Linked DNA regions of Canis lupus familiaris. The protein of the gene in region 1 purifies or fractionates together with the protein of each later gene. This does not show direct contact. Links are inferred from orthologs where the notes say so. Each region holds a gene or a part of one and is shown in the gene's direction. Other genes may lie near its edges.

What was found.
Region 2: the proteins of ADNP (region 1) and ZNF644 purify together in Homo sapiens (affinity purification with mass spectrometry; 3 studies listed by BioGRID and IntAct, with this or other methods). This does not show direct contact. The link is inferred for Canis lupus familiaris from reciprocal best matches to the Homo sapiens genes ADNP and ZNF644.
Region 3: the proteins of ADNP (region 1) and CBX1 purify together in Homo sapiens (affinity purification with mass spectrometry; 6 studies listed by BioGRID and IntAct, with this or other methods). This does not show direct contact. The link is inferred for Canis lupus familiaris from reciprocal best matches to the Homo sapiens genes ADNP and CBX1.

What each region holds. Positions count from the first base shown.
Region 1 is NC_049245.1:37,865,182-37,873,609, reverse strand, and holds the start of ADNP (activity-dependent neuroprotector homeobox protein), read left to right. Parts: upstream 1-3,644; 5' UTR 3,645-3,703; intron 3,704-5,808; exon of another isoform or gene 5,809-5,982; intron 5,983-7,359; exon of another isoform or gene 7,360-7,431; intron 7,432-8,428.
Region 2 is NC_049227.1:58,285,001-58,292,665, forward strand, and holds part of ZNF644 (zinc finger protein 644), read left to right. Parts: intron 1-1,432; coding exon 1,433-4,470; intron 4,471-4,649; coding exon 4,650-5,255; intron 5,256-5,372; coding exon of another isoform or gene 5,373-5,434; exon of another isoform or gene 5,435-5,469; intron 5,470-7,173; coding exon 7,174-7,296; intron 7,297-7,665.
Region 3 is NC_049230.1:24,313,337-24,320,394, reverse strand, and holds the end of CBX1 (chromobox protein homolog 1), read left to right. Parts: intron 1-42; 5' UTR 43-79; coding exon 80-219; intron 220-704; coding exon 705-882; intron 883-1,671; coding exon 1,672-1,766; intron 1,767-3,496; coding exon 3,497-3,650; 3' UTR 3,651-4,017; downstream 4,018-7,058. UniProt on the Homo sapiens protein: Component of heterochromatin. Recognizes and binds histone H3 tails methylated at 'Lys-9', leading to epigenetic repression. Interaction with lamin B receptor (LBR) can contribute to the association of the heterochromatin with the inner nuclear membrane.

The sequences.
Region 1 (8,428 bases):
TTTCATTTACATTTTGCTGTATTATTAAGACTTGTAAATAAATGTATTGGGTTTTTCAGAAAATACTGAGCTTTCATTAGAGTATGTGAGTGCAGAATTTCTTACATGGTAAAGACTTTGAAGTATATTAAAAAACTGGATTCATAGCTCATTATAATAGATACCAGAAGTAAGAAGAATGTTAATTATATTCATGAAATATATATGGCTGTTTCTGTATATATGAAGAAGTAGACACCTCTGCCCCTTCTTTAAAAATGTATCTCAAATTTCTTAAACTAGATAAAACAATATGTTTAGGTCACAATTTCATCTGTCAAAGCAAGTTTATTTAAAATACATATTGTGAATTGGAAACTTGACATCCGTTGATTGCATAGCTATTTTTTTTTTCTATCTTCAGCAGTACCTTCTATCAGTAGGAAAAAATATTGATGACAATATTTTGTCAGCATCAGTAGTCTTGATGACTTCAATACTTAGCTGCTATAGTATTTTTAAACATCTTACTAAGCTTTAAGTGTTCCACCAGTGAGTGCACTGTTAGTTGTTCATTAAAGCCAGCACACATATTCTGTTTATCTACCTTCTCTAAGCTAAATGTTTCAAAAAAAAATTTTTAACTGTAGCATAGCTTATGGAACACATGGTATCTTTTAAATTTGTGGGAAGGCATACTTTGAGCAAATAAGCTTAAGAGCAAGTTGACTTTCCTTTGCAAGGAAGAGACATCTCTAAGTTATTTAATAAGCATATTTATTGAACAGTATTCCTAATTACATTTTCCTGGCTTAATTTGACTGCTAAAGAAATTTAAAATCTGATTTTTCAATTGCATTTCTAACAGATCATAATCAGAAATTAATATCAGACTATAAAACCTTTGGTGTCATTTTGAACATTACCTACTCCCATAGTTGAATCCATGGGACACATTCCAAAAGGGCCTCTACTATTCTATGTCCCTTTTACACAGAGCTGTTTAGCCATCCAGCACACCAGGGACCCACCTTCCTTGGGGAAGTGACATCTCTCATCATTAATAACTAGAAAATTCATCACTGTTTAATGTAGAATTAACCTAATGTAATAGAAATACAATACTCTTTTCTGTGGAGTGTTTAGATTCTCCTCTTTTTCATCTAAACCCAAAGATTTTATTGTCAAGTATATGGAGCAGAGATTAACTACCTCAGAGAACTCATTATAAATTATTGCCTTCTCAGACCTCACTAGAGTAGGTAGCTATCTTATGCCTTTTTAATCTTTTAATCTTACTCCCATAGTCACAACACTGTCACTACTAGAATTTATAGTAAAGAAAGTATTTAAGCAGTGAAGACTTTTTTCATGTAGAAGTTATTTAGAAAAGAATCTGGACTATTTAGATGCATTTCTGTAAGACATCTGATGATTTAAACACTAAAATCTCAAACATTTATATGTGAACCTAGCATCTCTTTTTACTTTGTAAATTAGTCCAAGGATAAAATCCAGATGTTTTCCCTTTGTATTATCACTGTATGAACTCTATACCTAAGGAAAACGAAACTTGAGATAAATGGTTTTGCTGATTTCATAGTAGATTTTGCCTGTCTTCTGTAACATGTAATTAGATTCTTCATCTTTGTTTCTCTAAATCAAATGCTTGTGCCACCCTCTCACACACACACACACCCTTTTTTTTTTAACTTTTCCAGCTCTTGTTTTCCTTTGAAATACTGATTTGGCTTTTAAAGATTTATCTTCTCACAATTTCAGAAACTAATGGAATTCTGTATTGGTTCAAATGGCTTGTTTAAACCTGCTAAGTGAAGTCTTAGACATTGAGCTATATGTAACCACAATCTGTACTGTTTTCAGTTTAGTCAGAATCTTTGAGATGTTAAGTACTGTTTGAAACTGTTTTAACTTGAAATTTAGAGAAACGGCCAAAGATCAGTGTATTTACAGAGCACACCTTAGGAAAACAGGCTTGGTTAATCCTTCATGATGGTGTTCCTTACTCTTCAGTATGTTTCGCCAATGACATACTCTTAGATACAGTCTACTCCAAAAGGTGGGTTCAAAGATGTTGAGACAACGTGTTGGTTGGGATTGACCTAAATTTACACGAGCTGTCCATGTGCTGTCTTGTGACATCCACATTGTGGTAACGCTAGAATGACTGTCCTTGGGACCACAGTTGACGTGTAGTTTTTGAGCGTCTTCTGGAGGCCCATCAGCAGCACCTTTTCTCCTCTTCAGGCTTCACCAGTCCAGAGGCCCCCAAACGCTAGGCTCCCATTTGTTTTCTTCAGGCCAAAGAGAAGAGCCCATCTTTGACTTGGAAGAGAGTCAGCCCCTGGCCACTAGGTAACCCACCCGCCGGGAAGGAACCGGGGCTCCGTGGGCTCGTGTCCCGTCTCCAGGCGGTGTGTGAAGCACGAGGCCCTCACACCTCTTTTAAGGCAGGAGGCATCGCGCTCGAGCGGCCAGGTGCCCCTGCCCCTCCCGCTACCGCCCGGCCCGGCCCGGCCCGCCCGTGAGCGCGCAGGCCTCCCAGCACGTGGAGCCGCCGGGCTGCCCACACGCCCCCTCCCGCCAGATGTAGTCCAGGCCCAGCTGGGCCCGCGCAGGGATCCCCGGCACGGCCACCTGACTGAGTGCAGGGCGTGCTGCGGCCCGCTGCTGGTGCCTCCGCCGCCGGCGCTGCGGCCAGAGGAAGGCGCCCGCCGTGCACACGGGCCTTGGAAGCGCACTGCGGCCATTATCCGCGGCGCCTCCTAGTGGGTCAATGGCAAATCCTCTTGGTTCTCGCGAGAGCTCCCCCTCAGTGGGGATTATATAATTTCCCTCAGGTGGGGGTGCTGGTGCCACCCTCCCTCCCAAAAAGTTAGGTGCAAGCCCAGGTGGGAGTGAGAGAGTGGTCCCTGGGGGACAAGGGGGGAAGGGGTGCTGTCCCCCACTGCCCCCCCCCACTTAGCTGGACAATGAGTCCTCTTATGCTAATGAGGTATTTACGTCACTTCCGCTCTTTCTCGGCCGCCATTTTGGCTAGGGCAGGTTCGGGGACTCGCTCCGAGGCGCTTGTATTGTCTGCTGAGGGGAGACGCGGGATCAGCCCCCTCCCCCGCCCGTTGCCGCCGCCGCCTCCGCCGGCCCGGTCTCCCCTCCGCCGCCCGCCGGGATCCATGAGCTGAACTCCCGCCCCCCCCCCCGGCCGCCGCCATCTTGTGCCCCCTCCCCCTCCCGCGGGCAGCGCTAAGGGGGATTTTGGCGTCTCCTCAGACACAGCTCCCTCTCTCGGTCCCCGCTGCTGAGGAGCGAGAGGAGCGCGGCCGCCGCCGCCCGCCCGCCCGCGCCGGTGAAGCCGCCTCTCCCACACCCTCCGTCTCCTCCCTCCGCCCCTCCTTTGTCTGCACCGCTCGACGACGCTGCCGCCGCCGCCCGCGCGGGGACTGGAGGGAGCCGCTCGCGCCGCCGCCGCCGCCCGCCGCTCTGCTGCGCCCGCCGCGCCCCCCGGCAGCAGCCGCGGCCGCGGCGCGAGCCGGAGCCCGCCGAGCCAGCGCGCGACGAGGCCCCGGGCGCGCCCTCGCCGCCGCCGCCGCCGCCGCCACCACCGCCACCGCCGTGCCGCCGCCATCCGCCCGCCGCCGCCGCCGCCGCCGCCGCCCGGCCCCCGAGCACGCCGGCCCCGCGCGCGCCTCGAGGCCGAGTCAAGGTAAGCCCGCGGCCGCCGCGCGCCCACCCCGCGGCCCGGCCCCGGCCCCGGCCCCGCTCCCGCTCCGCGCTCCCCGCTCCCGCTCCCGGCCCCGGCCCCGGCCCCGGCCCCGGCCCCGGCCCCGCGGGCGCATTGTTGCGCCGACTGCCTGCGCTCCGGCCACACACGCTCCTTTGCACGCTCCGGTGCTGACGGAGCGCCCGCCCCGCCGCGGACCGCTACCCGGGCTCCGCTCCGGGGGCCAGGCGCCTCCTCCTGCAGCCCGACCCCCCTCCCCGCCCCGCGAGCCCGCCGAGGCCGGCAGCCAGCCCGGCCCCGGAGCCTGTGCCGCTGATGGCATCTCCCCCCACCCCGCCCCCAGCGAGCGCCGAGCTGCTCCCATCCCTGGAACTGAGCCCTTCCTCCCGCAAGGAGCCCCCCACGCACACCCCCGGTGCCTGGGACGAGCCCGCCGCCACCTCTGCCCACCCTCGGCTGGGGGAGGGGGGACACTGGGGGGCGGGGAGCGTGCATGGCACGGAGTGGAAAGTCTTTGCCTCCGCCGTGCAGCCCTTCCTCCCCAGCACGCCAGCTCCCCTCCTGTCCTAGCCACGGAGTCCACCACCACCCCCTTTCCCCAGGCGCAGCTGCCTGGTCAGCACGACCTCTTAGGAACATTCTGAGCCCCAACTTTGCAATGAGACGGCTAAAAAAAAAAAAAGGAAATCCAGAAAGCTGCGAAAAGATTTTTTTTTTTTTTTTTTTAATGCAATGAATGGGGAGGAGTTCTTTGAGCACCCTTTTATTCACCTCTCTTTCCTCTGGGCTGCCTGCCTGCCCTCCCCTCCCCCTCAACCTGGATGCCTGTCTGCTGGAAAAGGCGCGATTGCTTCTCTTCCTCTTCTGCCCAAGATCAGGCGCTAAGGTCTAATATCCTTTTTAGCCACACATGGACCCACACTAAGTCTTCTTGATGTTCTTGCATTCACCAATTCCTCTGGGCAGTTCTTGCTATAACCCCATTTCTCAGACAAAGGCTTAGGAGGGAAAAAGAACCAAACTGTTTCCTGTGTTTGCCATTTTAATGCTGTCCATCCCCACACACCCAATTCCTATTCCTGATGCTTCTCGTACCAGTGTCTTGAACCTTCAAAATGAAAACAAAAACAAAAACAAAAAACAGAAATCTCCTGAGTGGCTTGATACAGTTTCTTTATAAATCTGCATTGTTGCTTCTGGTTTATGGCCATGAAGAAAATACCAGCCCCCACCCAAAATGCACCGCAGCCAAGTCGGCTAAAGGCGATGAGTGTTGGAGTCAGTAGGGGGCGCATTCCCTGCACTGGGTAAGGCTGCAGAGGGGGGAAGGGCCCCAGAGCTAGAACAGGATGTGCTTCACAGCGCCTTCTACAGACCATGGGAAAATGGACCCAGCAAGACACACTCTCGCACTCTTAGTTGGTGAGCTGACAGCAACATGGCGAAGGATTAAGGGAGTCAAGAGCGGTGATTTTATTTCTTTTAAAGAACCCACCCTGCATTTTAAAAGTTCTCTCTTTTTACTTTTTCAAAACTGTTGACCCTCAGACAATCCACATTTGTTCTTGGCACATCATTGGTACACAGATTTTCTATTCTCTGGAATTATGGAATTCTTCCACCTTAAGCTTTGAATGAGTCACCATGTCTTTCCAAGGTCAGATGGTAAAGGGGAAAGTGTAAAACCTGAGAGTAATGCATTGGTTTGGGGGTATTGCTGATTGCCTCCTTTCTTCATGGCCCAAATCTTTCCAACTCTTTGAGAGTTAAAAATCATTCTTGAAGGATGTTGTTAGAATGTTAGTGGGGTAGTAATTCTCATAAGCATGTAGATGGGTGTCATGATTTGCAAAGCCTTGTTGGTAAACATCAAACCCGTGTTGAATTCTTCATTGTCAAACTCAACAGAGTTGATTGTAAAATTTTGTTGCCTTCCAACTTTGGACTTGTAATTGCCGCCATTCATTATCTCAGTAGCCAACCACCAACCACCTTTGCAAAAGTGTTGACACCGGTCTTCTGTGAGCACCCACCTTCTTAGGGTGTGTTGATTTCTGTAGATTTTACTCCTCTTGTTATTTCCATAGGTGTGAGATGCACAATGCGAAACCTAGGCCCCAGCTTTTGCACCATGATGCACAGGGTTGTACTTTTTGTACTGAACTGATAGGTGGCCTAGTGGTTATGCCCTGTACTACCATTTTGAGGATCTGGACTCCGTTCCTGCCTTGCTCTTTGGACCACATTGTCAATTCACACCGGTGGGTATATTCATTTTGGAGGGTGGGAACTGCAGCAACAGGGAAGCCAGAGACTTCTTCCTCCTTGGTCACCACCAAAGCCAACACTTCCAAAATTTCAGCCTAGCCACATTCCTCAAGGAACCGGTTAGAGCTGGTTGCAGTCGAGGGTTCTGAACAGAGAAATGACATAGTAGCTTGTTTAAGAGAAAATTTTGAAGTTGCTAATGCTGTTTTAATCATTTGCATTCTGCACTCTTGTGTATAAAGTATGTTAAGTTCTTGATTATTGTTATCTTGATGACCCAGGCTCAAGAGTTGCTATAGTTTCTATAAACCTTACAGATTCTCTGATCAGAACAGGCCCTTCCATGAACCTGTCCTTGTTACCAATGATTGTCAGTGGTTGTTGATAATCAAAGGTACTTTTAAGACTTTGTTGCAAGTATGTTACATAGACAGACCAAGATAAGTTTATGGGGAAACTTATGAATGGGTGTATTCTTTGATACATAGTTAACCAGTTGGTGCTTAAGAGTTTTCATGGGACATTTGCTGCCAAGTAACCTTTTGGTGAGTGAAAAGGAAGGAGGCAGCTTGGTTCAGTTATTCCATTGGAGACCTAACTATATTGCTTTTGCAATATTTTAGTAGCCACAAGAATCAGATATTAAATCTAATGGTGATATTTATAATTTTTAAATACTGATCAGTATTTGTTAAACAGATATAATTTTGACCTGTACTTGTTCTTTGATAGATAGTTATATGAGTTTTTAAAGGAGTAGTTTGAAAACCACTTCTTATTTGAGGGTATGTTTGAGGTGAGGTTTGTGAAGGTGCTTTTATTTGACTTGGCAAATTACACATAAGATGCAGTGTTAACTGATATCCTTAGTGGTAATAGCCATTCTCCTCCTACGGGAAAACTTGCTATGAGCTCTTAGAAAGCATGTATTCTGCAGTTTTTCAAGGTTTCCTGGTTTGAGCATTCTAAATTAAATTTATAAATAAATAAATAATAAATAGTAAGGCTATTGGGCTTGAAGGCTGGAATTTAGGTAAACTGAGGGTTTGTTAAAAGTACAGGTTGGGGGAAGGGAGCCTCAATTAAGCGGAAGGTGGGAATGGGTATTCTGTTTAATTGAGCTTTAAGTAGAAATGCCTTCTTTACTTAGCCTTTGTTGAAATTTCCTAAAGTTACCATATTAGAGGCTACTGTACATTGAACTAAGCCTTTGATTTTGATTTTTATAGTCTCTGTTTAGAAAATATAGGAGATTGGGCTTTGAATCTCTAAAAGACCTCTGGCCCTGCCTATCCTGGAAGTCATTGGTTGTAAACATACCCACTGTGAATTTGTTTTGCTTAAATTTCTCTTTTTTTTCCTTAAACCAGAGTGCAGGAAAAGTTCTAATACTATTTATATTAAAAATAAAACGTCACCATGTTGAACAGATTAAGTGTCAAGTAAGTTCTCAATTATTGTTATTTTGATGACCCAATCTCAAAAGTTGCTAAACTTTTAAAAACCTTAAAGATTCTCTGATCAGAACAGGCCTTTTCCTGAACATGTAGTTGCTACCAGATAACCAGCTAATAGGCTTTTACCAAGTAAAAATGATTTTTGCTTCTTGTTACAACATATATGCACACGTTTATTTAATTACTCCAATTTGATTAAATAAGGTGCACTATTTGTTAAATTGTTGGCTTTCCTGGTAACTGTTCACAGAATTTGAAAAACGTCTACTCAACACAATTTTTAGTATTTTGAAACTTTAAATATTCAGCAGTCTTTTGGTTGATTGCATTTATGATGTTGTGCACATGCTGGCTACATGTTTAATGATGGAAATTAAAGAAGATAGAGCTGATCAGTTACAAAGGCTCAAATAGGGATCAGTACTTGAGTAGAGAGAGAGAAAAGAAAAAATTCACAATTTCAGTACTATTTTTGTCTTTTGGGAACTATAACAAAATTGCATAAGTTGTAATAGGCCTTGGCAGGTTGATTTCGTCAATTGGTGTGAGTGTGTATATACCCAAAATACAACTCGTTTCTTTTAGAGTTGGAAATAACTGTCATATTATCAAATACAAAATCCGAGCATTAGAGATATAATTGGGAAACCGTACATTTAACTACAGAAAAAGATGTTGGGATTAGACATTATAATTTTTGGAAAAATAATCTATTAAAATCATAGTGAGATTAATTTAGGTGAAAGTACCCAAAAGGAAATTTTTATAAGAATAGAAGCTAATTTGTAGTTTACACCAACATGCCCGATACTATTGTGTAGTAATCTGCGTGTTCATCCTGGACTTCCAAGGGGCTTATCGTTAGATTCTCAGAGCTTGATGTGTTTCTAGCATCATGCAGACTTTTAGTTTTGTAAGAGCTTGTGTCATTAGGTCTGGAACAAATGTCGTATTTTGCTGATGTGCATCACTGTCAGTTATG
Region 2 (7,665 bases), on another chromosome or scaffold:
GGCACATCTTATGGGAAGAGTAAGCTCATACATACAAGCACTTGTTCTAAGCTGTGAAATAACAAAGTAATTAGAAACAATTCCTTTATTCTTTAACTAGAATAAAGAGCTAACTTTTATTCTTTAACTACCATAAAATATTAGAAATAATTACCTATACTGAAAATATTTTCATTTCTAAATACCAGATTATGTTCCTGCTATCTTAAAATACTACTTGTTATACAGATTAAAAATCCTATGAAGGAACAATGGAAGACTTAATTCTCTTTTTTTAAAGATTTTTTATTTATTTATTCATAGAGAAAGAGAGAGAGGGAGAGAGGCAGAGATACAGGCAGAGGGAGAAGCAGGCTCCATGCAGGGAGCCTAACGTGGGACTCGATCCCAGGTCCCCAGGATCACACCCAAGGCTGCAGGCGGCGCTAAACCACTGCTCCACTGGGGCAGCCCAGAAGACTTCATTCTTTATCAGAGAGCAGGAACCTAGTCTGTCTTGCTTACTGCTGGTATTCCTAATAATAAAACAGTGCCTGGCACATGGTAAGGGCTCAGTAAATATTTGGAGAATAAATAACTGTACTTGCTACCATGTACAAAAAAGAAGAGAAATAAGGAATTTTATGCCAGCACTTTGGATAGTCTATACCTAGGGTTGCCAAATAACAGATTCTTTAAATTGTACTTGAGGGGGCAGCCCCAGTGGCCCAGCAGTTTAGTGCCACCTTTAGCCCAGGGTGTGATCCTGGAGACCTGGGATCAAGTCCCACATTGGGCTCCCTGCATGGGGAGCCTGCTTCTCCCTCTGCCTCTCTCTCTCTCTCTGTCTCTCATAAATAAATAAATAAAATCATTTTTAAAAATAAAATAAATAAACTGTACTTGAGGATTATTGGATATTTTGAAGGTCTTGCTGTAATTGCTGAGTCAAAAAGTCAGAACCATGATGGAATTTACACTATTTGAAGGGAGTCTACATTTCATAGTACGAAAACTTTTTCCTCTTACACATTTTGCTTTGATTTTGCAGTTGTGTTTTTACTTGTTCAACATGTTAGTCCTTTATTCACCAAATACTGCTGAAGCACCTATGCCAAACACTGTGCTAGGTTCTAAAGACAAGAGCTTACATTCTTCCATAGAGACCGGCAATTCAGTATAATGTGGCCATTTCTAATGTTGCTGTTCCCTAGATGATTTGTATATATGCAATACGGAGTTGTTGCCTAGCACAAAGAAGAAAATTAACCTTTGAGATACTTTTAATGTCTTTTACATTTTTTAAAGTGTTTCCTCATTCTTGGAAAATTATTAGATCTTGATATAAAGAGTCGAATCACACTAATAAAAGTGTGTACTTTGAACTCTCCATACATTCTAATAGAATTTTTTCTTTCATGCCAATCTAAATTTTTTTTCTTCCATTTTCTAGACTAAATGTGTTAAATGGGCTTGCCAACAATATGGATGATTTGAAGATAAACACCGATATTACTGGTGCTAAAGAAGAACTCCTAGATAACAACAGTTTTATCTCAGACAAAGAGAGTGGAGTTCATAAACCAAAAGATTGTCAAACATCATTTCAGAAAAATAATACTCTCACTCTGCCTGAAGAACTGTCAAAGGACAAATCTGAAAAAGCCTTAAGTGGAGGCCAGTCTACTTTATTTATACATGCTGGTGCTCCTACTGTTTCTAGTGAAAACTTTATCTTGCCTAAAGGAGCTGCTGTTAATGGACCAGTTTCACACTCCTCCTTAGCTAAGACTTCCAGTATGAATAAAGGCAGTGTTTCATTAACCACTGGACAACCTGTGGATCAGCCAACAACAGAGTCTTGTTCAGCGTTGAAGGTGGCACCTGATCTTCAACTATCTACACCACAGAAAGCAAGTCAACATCAAGTTTTATTTTTGTTATCAGATGTAGCGCATGCTAAAAATCCAACCCATTCCATTAAAAAACTACCTACCTCTGCTTCCGTTGGTTGTGACATTCAGAATTCAGTAGGGAGTAGTATAAAGTCAGATAGCACTTTAATAAATCAAGTAGAGGTGGGTGAGGATAGTGATGATTTATTGGTAAAAGATGATTGTGTTGATACATTGACAGGAATTTCCTCAGGTACAGATGAATTTAGGTCAGAAAATGATACGAACTGGGATCCCCAAAAAGAGTTCATTCAGTTTCTTATGACTAATGAAGACACAGTGGATAAAGCTCCAGTTCACTCTAAAGTAGGTCTAGAAAAAAAGAGAAAGCGAAAAATGGATGTAAGCAAGATAACTCGTTATACTGAGGATTGCTTTAGTGATTCTAATTGTATACCCAATAAGTCAAAAATGCTAGAAGTAGACTTTCTGGAGCAGAATGAAGAACTACAAGCAATAGACTCACAGAAATATGCATTATCAAAAGTGAAGCCTGAATCAACTGATGAAGACTTGGAATCTGTGGATGCTTTTCAGCATCTAATTTATAACCCAGATAAGTGTGGAGAAGGCAGTTCACCCGTTCATACTAGCACTTTTCTTTCAAATACCTTAAAAAAGAAATGTGAAGAAAGTGATTCCGAGTCACCTGCTACTTTCAGCACCGAAGAGCCATCATTCTACCCCTGTACAAAGTGCAATGTGAATTTTAGGGAGAAAAAACACCTCCACAGGCATATGATGTATCATTTAGATGGGAATAGCCACTTTCGTCATCTTAATGTCCCAAGGCCATATGCTTGTAGAGAATGTGGACGGACATTTCGAGATCGTAACTCACTTCTAAAGCATATGATTATTCACCAAGAAAGAAGACAGAAGTTGATGGAGGAAATTCGTGAGTTGAAAGAACTTCAGGATGAAGGAAGAAGTGCACGATTACAGTGCCCTCAGTGTGTGTTTGGTACCAATTGCCCTAAAACATTTGTGCAACATGCTAAAACCCATGAAAAAGATAAAAGGTACTACTGCTGTGAAGAGTGTAACTTCATGGCTGTGACAGAAAATGAATTAGAATGCCATCGAGGCATTGCCCACGGAGCAGTGGTAAAATGCCCTATCGTCAATTCTGATGTAGCCCAGAGAAAAACGCAAAAAAAGACTTTCATGAAAGACTCTGTTGTAGGATCATCCAAAAAATCAGCCACCTATATATGTAAGATGTGTCCTTTTACTACTTCAGCCAGAAGTATTTTAAAAAAACACATGGAATACTTGCATTCATCATCATGTGTTGATTCATTTGGTAGTCCTCTTGGACTTGATAAACGAAAAAGTGACATTCTCGAAGAACCTATAGATATTGATGGCACTAAACCATTAATTAAACAACAGTCAGCCACATTTCCAAAGAATTCCGCTTTAAAACAAGATGTAAAGCGAACATTTGGATCATCTTCACAATCAAGTAATTTTTCCAAATTCCACAAGCGGCCACACAGAATACAAAAAGCTCGGAAAAGCATTGCCCAGTCAGGTGTAAATGTGTGCAATCAAAACAATTCTCACAAGACTGTTACGATTAAAAGCAGCTCTGACCAAAAACCTAAGTATTTCCATCAAGCAGCAAAAGAAAAATCTAATGCCAAGGCAAATAGCAACTATTTATATAGACACAAATATGAAAACTATAGGATGATCAAAAAATCAGGTGAATCGTATCCTCTACATTTCAAAAAAGAAGAAGCCAGCTCATTGAATTCTTTACATTTGTTCTCGTCATCAAGTAATTCTCACAACAATAGTTTCATTTCAGACTCTCAAAACTCTGATACCAAAAGGCCAGAAAGCTTCAAAGAACATAGACGTGTAGCTGTAAAGAGAGTAGTTAAGGAATCTAAGAAGGAAAGCTCTGTTGGAGGAGAAGACTTGGATAGCTATCCAGATTTCCTGCATAAAATGACAGTTGTTGTTTTGCAGAAACTTAATTCTGCTGAAAAGAAAGACAGCTATGAAACAGAAGATGAAAGTTCTTGGGATAATGTTGAGTTAGGTGACTACACTACACAGGCTATGGAAGATGAAACCTATAATGATATTAATCAAGAACATGTAAACTTATTCCCACTGTTTAAAAGCAAGGTGGAAAGTCAAGAGCCTGGAGAAAATGCTACTCTTAGTTATGATCAAAACGATGGCTTTTATTTTGAATATTATGAAGATGCTGGAACTAATAACTTTTTGCATGACATACATGATTCTCAGCATTTAGAAAATGCAGAAACTTCATTGTCAAAGCATAGTTCTGTTTTTCACTGGACTGATTTGTCTCTTGAGAAGAAATCATGTCCTTACTGCCCAGCAACATTTGAAACAGGTGTTGGGTTGTCAAATCATGTCCGAGGACATCTTCACAGAGCTGGATTAAGCTATGAAGCCCGCCATGTTGTATCACCAGAACAAATAGCCACAAGTGACAAAATGCAACATTTCAAAAGAACTGGTACAGGGACACCTGTTAAGCGAGTTAGAAAAGGTAAGTTTTCATGTAGATAATTTGGGTTAATATGTCTGTATTCAAATTCAAAGGATTTGAAGGTTTTGCTCAGATTTGGTCTTTATTAGAATCACATAACTTTATATTTCAGAGTTATTGGCTTTAAGATGATCACTTTATGAAAAATTCTGATGTTACTCTTAAAAAATTTTTTTTAGCTATAGAGAAGTCTGAAACCACTTCTGAACACACTTGTCAGCTCTGTGGTGGTTGGTTTGATACTAAAATTGGATTATCGAATCATGTTAGAGGCCATCTGAAAAGACTTGGAAAGACCAAATGGGATGCTCACAAATCTCCAATCTGTGTTTTGAATGAGATGATGCAAAATGAAGAAAAATATGAAAAAATCTTGAAAGCATTGAACAGTCGTCGTATTATTCCCAGACCATTTGTAGCTCAAAAACTTGCATCAAGTGATGACTTTCTATCTCAAAATGTTATACCTCTTGAAGCATACCGTAATGGCCTAAAGACTGAAGCTTTATCAGTGTCTGCATCAGAAGAAGAAGGGCTGAGTTTCTTAAATGAATATGATGAAACAAAACCAGAACTACCCAGTGGAAAAAAGAATCAGTCTCTTACACTGATAGAACTACTTAAAAATAAAAGGATGGGAGAAGAAAGGAATTCTACTATTTCTCCTCAAAAAATTCATAATCAAACTGCAAGAAAGAGATTTGTTCAGAAGTGTGTTCTTCCATTAAGTGAAGACAGTCCCTTGATGTATCAACCACAAAGAATGGATTTGACTATGCACTCAGGTAAGAGGATGTCTATGACTGTCGTCTAGAATTTAAATACAGTTATGCTTATTGTTACAGAATATTTGTAGAAAATACTTTCTTAGAATCTTTTTACTTAAGCTGCTTTTTTTGCAGAGCAGAGATTGGTTATACTGTCATTTCTATATAAATCATCAGTTGATGCTCATCAGCACTGAATTCTCTGTGCCTCATTTCTTGGTCAGAATGTAAGGTGAGAACAAAAAAAGTAGATCTGTAAAATAAAATTTGCTGTGGCTGGGGGATGGTCCTATGGATGGGAGGTTGACGTTGTTCAAAAGCATAGCATTACTGAAATGGCGAACCTGTCCTATATTTGCCAGTGCTCCAAGGTGATAATGTTTTCAAGATATAGCTGTTGGTTTTCCTTCTGCTTAAGTCAAATGAATAAACAAACAAATAGACTCTTTAAACTGAATGGATTGGTGTCTGTTGTGTGTTGTGATTAACCCAAAAAAACTTCTCCTTCTCCAATTCCTCACTGTATTGTGGGATAGTTTGGTTTTGGAGAACTGTTGTGAGTATAAAACATTTGTTTGGGGTTTTAGATTTTACAGTGGTGGTCTAAAGGAACAGAACGGATGGTTTAGGTTAGTGCTTGTGCACCAATAGTTTTTCCTTTTCAAAAGAATTGTTTGTGTATGTTGGCAAATGAGGTAGCAAATAAAATAGCCAAACTGTATTTGTTATTGCTAAGTCTGATTTATACTTTTAGACTCGAAGAATTTTAAGTGGCTTTGTAGGTTTCTTTTGGAGGTTAAGAATGTTGAGGATGAACTTAGATGGTCTCATAATTTTAGCCCCAAGTCCAATGTGTCTAAGGTAAAACTAACTGGTCAGGGGAATTCATAATGAATAAAATTACTTCAGTGTTGACTTGTTTATTTTGGCAGACATTGGGATAGCCCAGATATTTATATGCAGTTTTGATTTAAGGAAAGATTACACTGTGTTGTGAGTGATCTGAAAAACTTTCTTGTATGGGTTTCTGGTAAATAGGTTCTTTTGTATGAAGAGAGTCTTTGAAAGTCAAATCTTCAACATTTTTTTCAAAAGAATAAAATGTAAGAAAGGTGTGTTAGCTATGTTGACTAAAGTTTAGTACACTTGAGAGATGGAAAGTGTATTTGTGGCTGAATGTCATTGTTGGAGAAACCAACTGAAAGGAGTTTGAGGAGTGAAGATTGTCTTAGAAGTTAGGAGTTTCTTACTGTTTCAACATGTTTTCTTTCCTGTGATGACTAAGATGTTAGCTTGTTGATCATTTATTTAGCACAAAGATTTTAGTAAAAAACTTCAAATCATTAACTTTCATTATTGATTGCGCATTCAGAGTAATGAACATAAAATGCCCTGAATAAAATGTTGTGTCTAACAGCTGCTCAATGGTGTGTTTTACCACCTTTTCTCCCAGCCTTCATCAGAAAACCTAATTTAGTATTGAGCCTTTTACGGTTTTGTGGGTAAAACACTTTAATTACCACTTTGTCAACTAGACTTTTTAATTCTTTTTATTGGTAATGTTGTAAGCTTTGAAACTTCTCAACTGAACTGTGCTCTTCAAATCACAGGATTGTATTTTAGGTTTAGGAAATGATCTGCGTAACACAGAAATCTGCAAGAAAGTGATAATAGGTGTTAAATCCAGAGGAGCTCAGAGGTTCAAGGCACTCCTCTTCCACATTTCCAAAGAGCATGGGTTGGCTCTAAATACTAACAGCAAACTAATATTAGTTAACTTAATTCCCCCTCCTTATTTTAAGTTAAGCTAATTCAATGAACGTTTTTTTTTTTTTTTTAAACCATCCTTATTGTGGTACTTTTCTTCACGCTTTTAGCTAAGAAAATTTCACTTTTTGAAGTGAGAACTGGATTATAGTTTTCTTTTGAATGATAGGTATGCCTGTGAAGCTTAGAACATGTGTGCATTGCAATACGACGTTTACAAGTGCTGTTAGCCTGTCCAACCACTTACGCGCTTATGCACGAAAGAAGAGTGCTGGACTTTTGACTGGTACAGGTATGTTTGAACAGATAACACAGCAAGTCTGCTTGATACAGTACACTTTTTTTCTCACCAGACTGGTGCTAATTCAGATGATATTTATAGCTTCCTTTGGTAAGCACAGTTGAGTCTGAATATACATTAAATTTCAGCAACTTGTAAACTGTTAGATACAATTTTAAGCAAGTTATTCTTTTTCATTTGGCTCTTACTGACTTGATTTGGGGGAAAAAAAAGCCAATAGAGGTGTAGAACTTTTGAATCTACATAATTCCCATTGATTTTTAAATTATACTATTTTTGATTTTTAAATTTATTTTTGTTGGTAGATTCCAGTAAGGCACCTCTCTTTGGTTAAAAAAAAAAAAAAAAAAGATTGTAGTT
Region 3 (7,058 bases), on another chromosome or scaffold:
AATGTGCCCTAACGCCCTTTTTATTTTATTTTATCACTTTAGCAGCGTCACCCTTTAGACCAGAAAGCTGGCGGGCACTATGGGGAAGAAACAAAACAAGAAGAAAGTGGAGGAGGTGCTAGAAGAGGAGGAAGAGGAATATGTGGTGGAAAAAGTTCTTGACCGTCGAGTGGTAAAGGGCAAAGTGGAGTACCTCCTAAAGTGGAAGGGGTTCTCAGAGTAAGTTTCATTAACTTGGGTAAATCTATCTATTTAGTCACTGACTATTTCTCAGGAGTCTAGTAATGCGCAAGGCCTAGGGTGCTCTGATGGGTAGTATGACCCAGGCCTGGCCTTCATGGCTTAGAGTCTAATGAGGAAAACTGTCCACATGTACAAAGTGCTACAATGCCAGACAGTGATTTATGAGAAGCAGTTTTATGTGCAGCTTTAGACTGATTCAAGTTTGCAAAGAAAGTAATTTTCCTTTGAAGAAGGCAAGTTTCTAAGCTTTTAATTTACATTAAAAAGTCTGATGCCAACCCCCCTGCCCCAAGAAATCTCAGTGTTACCAAGGTTCTTGGTCTTGGACAAAATCTGGATACTCATTATCATTAACTCCTCTTTTCCAAGGACACCAGCTCTCGTCATCCTGTGCATCTCCTTAGTATGAGTGTGCTAACTTTTGAGTGGAAAGTGTGACTCACTGTGCCCTCTGGTTTCAGTGAGGATAACACGTGGGAGCCAGAAGAGAACCTGGATTGCCCTGATCTCATTGCCGAGTTTCTACAGTCACAGAAAACAGCACATGAGACAGATAAATCAGAGGGAGGCAAACGCAAAGCTGACTCTGATTCTGAAGATAAGGGAGAAGAGAGCAAACCAAAGAAGAAGAAAGAAGAGGTAAGGGGAGAACAAGTTTTACTAGCCCAGAATTCCTACTGCTGTCAAAGCTGAAAAGCCTTTTAATTTTTAAATTTAAGGAGTTTTATTCTGCTGCTTCTTGGGCCTCAGCACCCATCTCTCCTTCCTCTGGAATCTTAGGCTAATGCTTATAAAGTGTTTGGGGGTTCACTTTGCTGAAGCCATGTAATCTATACTTTATCCAAGTTTCTTTCCTTTTTTTTTTTTTTTTTTTTTAAGATTTTATTTATTTATTCATGAGGGACACACAGAGAGAGAGAGGCAGAGACACAGGCAGAGGGAGAAGCAGGATCCATGCAGGGAGCCTGATGTGGGACTCGATCCTGGGCCTCCAGGATCACACCCCGGGCCGAAGGCAGGCGCTAAACTGCCGAGCCACTCGGGCTGCCCTACTTTATCCAAGTTTCAAGAATAATAATGAGTGCAAATAAATTCATTCCTATAGATAGTTTTCAGTGTTGTAATCATTACAGGTGTTAGCTCTATATTTATTCAGTACCTTAAAGTAAGTTATCTTCTGAGGGTGAAGAAACTGTTGTGAAAATTTATTTTGCTTGAGATGTATGTCCCTTTTTACATATGGGGAAACCTCAAGACCTTGATGGAAGAATCACTCAGAAGGATGCATAAAGGCCTGTGACTTGGAGCCAAGGTATTGATGAAATACTGACAAGAATGTGATTATATTAATCAGAGGAGCAGGAGTGACTCTAGTCTGGATAACAGTCCCACATAATTAAATTTGTTGCATCCATCTGATTTTTACAGTCAGAAAAGCCACGAGGCTTTGCCCGGGGTTTGGAACCAGAGCGGATTATTGGAGCTACAGACTCCAGTGGAGAACTCATGTTCCTGATGAAATGGTGAGTCTGCTGGTGGCCCTGTGTGGTGGTTTTTTTCTTCTCCCCATCTGTTCCATGCCAGAGGAAAAGAGCTGGATCTTCGAAATTCCAGTCGCCCAAGTGTGAAATCTTTAAGATGGCATAGTCCTTCGATAGTGACCCTCGGCCTGACTGCCAGCCTGGACTCATGAGTTACAGGTAGGGGCCCTTAGGATTCTCAGATCTTTGCCCCATTTATTAGGAGGTGGGAGAAAATCCAGGATGGAGAAGGTACAGGGAAGGATCACATTTCACTTCTGTGAATGAAGGGGTTGGGAATGAAATGTGATTGAACCACCTTCCCCTTGTACAACCTCCTTAATAAAAATTGGGCTGGCCCCAGGATCAGAAGTTCTGTTAACTTCTCAGGGTTATTTAAGAATTTCTGTAGCTCTTCCTTTGTCTTTGATTGTTAGATCCTTTCCAATTTGTGCAGATTCTGTAATTCCAGGATCAGCCAGTAGGGGTCAGCAAGTCACCTTTACTGTACTGAGAGCATAGAGTAATAGGCTATTTTTTTCCATTAGAAGTATGAATACCAATGGTAGTAATACTCCACAAAACAGCTTAAGGAAAACAGTTGTCTTGAGAATGATAAGAACTTTAATTAACCCCAGATTCCCTAAAATATCCCTATTCTCTGCCAAAAGGAAGGCTTTCTTTTCTTTTTCTTGCTGGTTGAAAAATGTTTGTGCTTTTTTCCCCCCCCAGGTAGGTCTCAAATATTGTCCTTAAAATATAAATTAGGAGGGAATGATTCTAAGCCTTTACCAGTTAAGGCAGAATTTTAAGGATTTTGTCCTTTTGTCAGTCTAGAATCTTCTCTTAAATTCCTGTCTATACTAATTCCTCTTGCTTAGAAGGTGGTCAGAGAGGCCTGACTTTGACACTGCTGAAAGCTTATGTCACAATTAGGTGAAACTCTTGTTTTCTTATTTTGTGTTTCCTATGTTCACTGAATCTGACATTTTAGCTGCTTTACTGCTAGCCTATAGGAGAAAAGTTCATTTTTCATTTTTAAGGTGTGCATCTGGGGTGGTGGGGGGAGATTGATACCAGGAGCTACAATCCAACTAGAATATATTTTCACTGTCTGCATGTGATCAGTCTGAGTTACTATACTATCTCCATATTGTTTAAGATTGCACTCCTTTGGTTGAATTACTGCTATTTTTAAAGATTATACCTGAATGTAATTCTACAAGTTAAGATAAAAAGATTGGATGTTGATTAGAAAAACCTAGTTCATTTTAAGATGATTTTCTGGAAGAGTTGAAATAGTTGTCCATTACCAAAATAGAAAATATTCCTTTGTTATGAAATAACTGAACTTCCCTCAAAGTATTGTTTGAATTGTCAACAAGGGCAGCCTCCTTCAGGCTCCCATATTGTTAGACTCCTTTTCCCTCCCATTCTTTTCAGTCTGTTGTTCAGAAACATACCTTACCAGTTTAGTCAACCCTGGTTCCTTGTGCTCTCTGGCTTTGGTTTATCTGTTTCTGAGTTCTAGAAGTTTTGGGTGGTGCCTCATTGGATCCCATCATATAACTGCTACCTGCCTTAATGCTGCTACTCTCATCTAGGAGATTCCTAGTGACCTTACTCCTAAGTCCTTTGTAATATGTATGTGATTTTCAAATTTTGAGACCATTTTTTAAAATTCAGGAAAATATAGAGAATTATGTAACAGTCCCTTATTTTCTACTTCCCAGTGTTGAAGCACCATTTCAAAGCACCTGGGAGTTGTGGAATATCTGTGTGAGCATGGCATTTGGTAATGTTAAACAGTGTAATTATGAGTCAATGAGAATGTGTCCAACTGCATTGGCTAGAGCCAATGGTATTAAATCTTATTATTGGTATTAAATCTTACTATTGGTATAAAATCAATTACTATCCAAAATTCTACTACAAAGCCAAGATCTCTCCATGGGCTCTTGGGAGCTTGGCTTTTGGATGAGTATGGTAGCCTTTCTTCTGCCCTCCAAGAATCTGAGAGTCATGTTTGTTTTTGTTTTTGTTTTTGTTTTTTTCCTGGCCTTGCCAGAGGTTCACATGTGATAGATTGAGTTAAGTGACTGAGCTTAACAAAGATACCAGAGAGGATTTTCAACAGAAGACCTCTGAGGATGTCACTTGACTAAATGCTGTGTAGGCCATGTTATCGCCCTATCCCTTGTGTAATCCAGGTTAGGAGACCACTAGCACCTGGTCTCAGGGTCTCTCTGCTTTGTTCTGCAGGAAAAATTCTGATGAGGCTGACCTAGTCCCTGCCAAGGAAGCCAATGTCAAGTGCCCACAGGTGGTCATATCCTTCTATGAGGAAAGGCTGACGTGGCATTCTTACCCCTCGGAGGATGATGACAAAAAAGATGACAAGAATTAACTGTCCTGAGTACCTGCCCCTGTCACATCTGACTGTGGGTTTCAAGTGGGGAGGGAAGGAGTTCTACTCGTCTTGACACCGTAGAGGTGGCTTGAGAAGATGTCCTTTGAAGAGCCAGTATCGTTTCTGTGCCCTACAGCAGCCCAAGTGCTTTAAAGCCTTTCCATGCTGTGTAGTTTGCACACCCATCCCAGTGGAGGGGAAGGAAGAGAAGTATTGCAAGGCCACCCATTCTGTACTTTGCTGAGAAAGGCAAAGGGCCTTCCATGAAGGACAGAACTTGCAGAATGGGTGTGTGGGAGAGCAAAAGATACTGTAGATCTTCAAAGTGCATCTCCACAACCCACAGCCTTCTTCCCAATAGTGTTAACTCTGCATTTTTACAGCGTAGCATGTGTGTAGTTTTTGGCTATTACTGGTGTATCATTTGGGGGTGGGAGGGTTGGGGGTGGGAAGGAACGGAGATGGGTAGGATCATTTTTGTTAAAATTTGGGGCCTGATTGGGAAAATGGTGAAACAATGGAAAGAACAAACTTGTGGTGATTTGGTTCTGTGTCCAGAATATTTTATCTTTTCAAAAAATGTCATTGGCAACCTAAATGAGGACTGTGAGAGACTGTTTAAAAGCTGTGAATGCCTGAAACTTAAAGCCAAGGTGTTCCCTGCCTGAGCTTAATGCTATTCCCAACAAAGGACTAAGCCAGTTAATAAGTTACCAAAGCTGCCATTTTGGGGATGGAAACTGGTTGAAGAGGGAAAGTCTTATTGGAGCGTATACATAGGCAGATTGTTCTGTCATAGAGGTGCTAATTCTTGAAATTGGTAAGAAGACCCTTTCTTTTCCAACTATGAAGTTTTAAACATCAGCTTATCCATCCAAGCCACTGGCTGAGGTATTTGGGGAGGAGAAGAGGGTGGTATAGAAGGTGGGAGAGTAGAGAAAGACAAGGGCCCATGCTCTTAGGGTGGAAAACTCTTGGAGCCTATTATTTGAACTTTGAACCCTGAAATCATTGGTGGCAGGGTTCAATCACTGACAGCACAAGTTCATTGAATCACTTCAAGAGTTGAATGACTTCAAAAGCCCTGGTCTCAGGAGAAGATTAAACTTTCATACTGGGGCAGTGGTTCACTTTAAAACACAAAACAAAACAAAAAAATTTTTTAATCCTAAGAACTAATACCCAAAATGCTGTCTTGAATCATGAGATCCATCAGTTCTTGACATCGTCTAGACCTGCATTCTAGAACTCCATTGTAAAATCTTTTTAGGCATGTGTTAGGTTTCTGTGAAAACTTTGTTTAAATGTAAACTTCATACCACATTTGTCAGTTTTGTCTTAATAAAACTATAGATTTATAATCCTTGATTTCTGTCTTGATTAAGTATTACCAAAAACCCTCCCTGCCTTTGATTACCTTTTGGTTCAGCTTATAAGGAAACAACTTCTACAGTTGGACGGTTTGATTTTTTTTTTAATTTTTTTTTTTTAAGATTTTATTTATATTTGTTCATGAGACAGAGAGAGACAGAGGCAGAGGGAGAAGCAGGCTCCATGCAGGGAGCCCGATGTGGGACTCGATCCCAGGACTCCAGGATCACGATCCTAGCTGAAGGCAGACGCTCAACCGCTGAGCCACTCAGGCATCCCAAGGAAGGTTTAATTTCTTGAACACTGTAGGTTTGAAAATCTAATGCCTGGCCTGAATCTTTGAGTGGTCTCATTATGTAGTAAATATTTATTGAACGTCTATAATTGCTATAGAGATTATAAAACTTGTCACATCATTCTGCCTTCATATTGCTCAAAGTTTGCTTATTTATTCATTCATTCATTCATTCATTTTTTGCTCAAATTTAATTTAGCACTCTGACCTGCTAGCACTTCCAAACCATGATATGTTTGGAAACGTGTTTGTTTGTTGTTGCTGTCAGTTTGTTTTTTTAATAATAGGTTTTTTGAGTTATGTTTGTTTTTATTCATGAGAGACTCAGAGAGGCAGAGACGTAGGCTGAGGGAGAAGGAGGCTCCCTATGGGGAGCCTAATGTGGGACTCGATCCCAGGACCCCAGGATCACGACCTGAGCCAAAGGCAGATGCTCAACCACTGAGCCACCCAGGTGCCCCAGAAACATGGGTTTTTTTTTGTTTGTTTGTTTGTTTTGTTTTTTTTGAAACATGGGTTTTGAGTTAGGTTTAGTTCTTGGCTTATGTATTTTGTAGACTTGTGTCACTTCAGCTAATAGTCAACTCCAAAATTTTCAGGAACTGATCTAATATTTGATCACTGACTTAAAATGTTATCTACTTTCTTAATGTCCAGAGCCAAAATGGGACTAGGCTCTTGTTATTTATTAAAAGGGAATATGGGATTTCCACCAAGATCAAATCCGCTCTGCTCACTAGTACACAGCATTTGTTCCAAATAAACTGATGCATAAGTATTTTTTTTTTCAAAAAGCCTTCTGGGCTGACAGGCTGGCTCAGTCAGCAGAGCGTGCGATTCTTGATCTTGAGGTCGTGAGTTTGAGCTCTGTATTAAGTATAGAGATTACCTAAAAACAAGATCTTTTAAAAAAAAGCCTCCTAAGAGTTTGGGAAGATGAGGTAAAATGGAGCTGAGGAGGCCTTTCTAGCTGTGTCCTTGTGGTTGACAGCAGCTGAGGTCTCAGTAGCTATTTGAGAGAGTTAGGGTGTGGCAGGCAGAGATGTGCTGGTTCTGTTCTGCATCATTAGAGGCACTGAAATTAACCTTCAGCCTTGCTGTGTGTCAAGAATGGACTGCCATTCAGCTTCAGTCTTAACCTTTGGGACCTACTTCATTGTCCTTTCTGGCATCCTGAACCCTCATAAAACGCTATCAGTCTTCCCCCAGGGAAGATCCT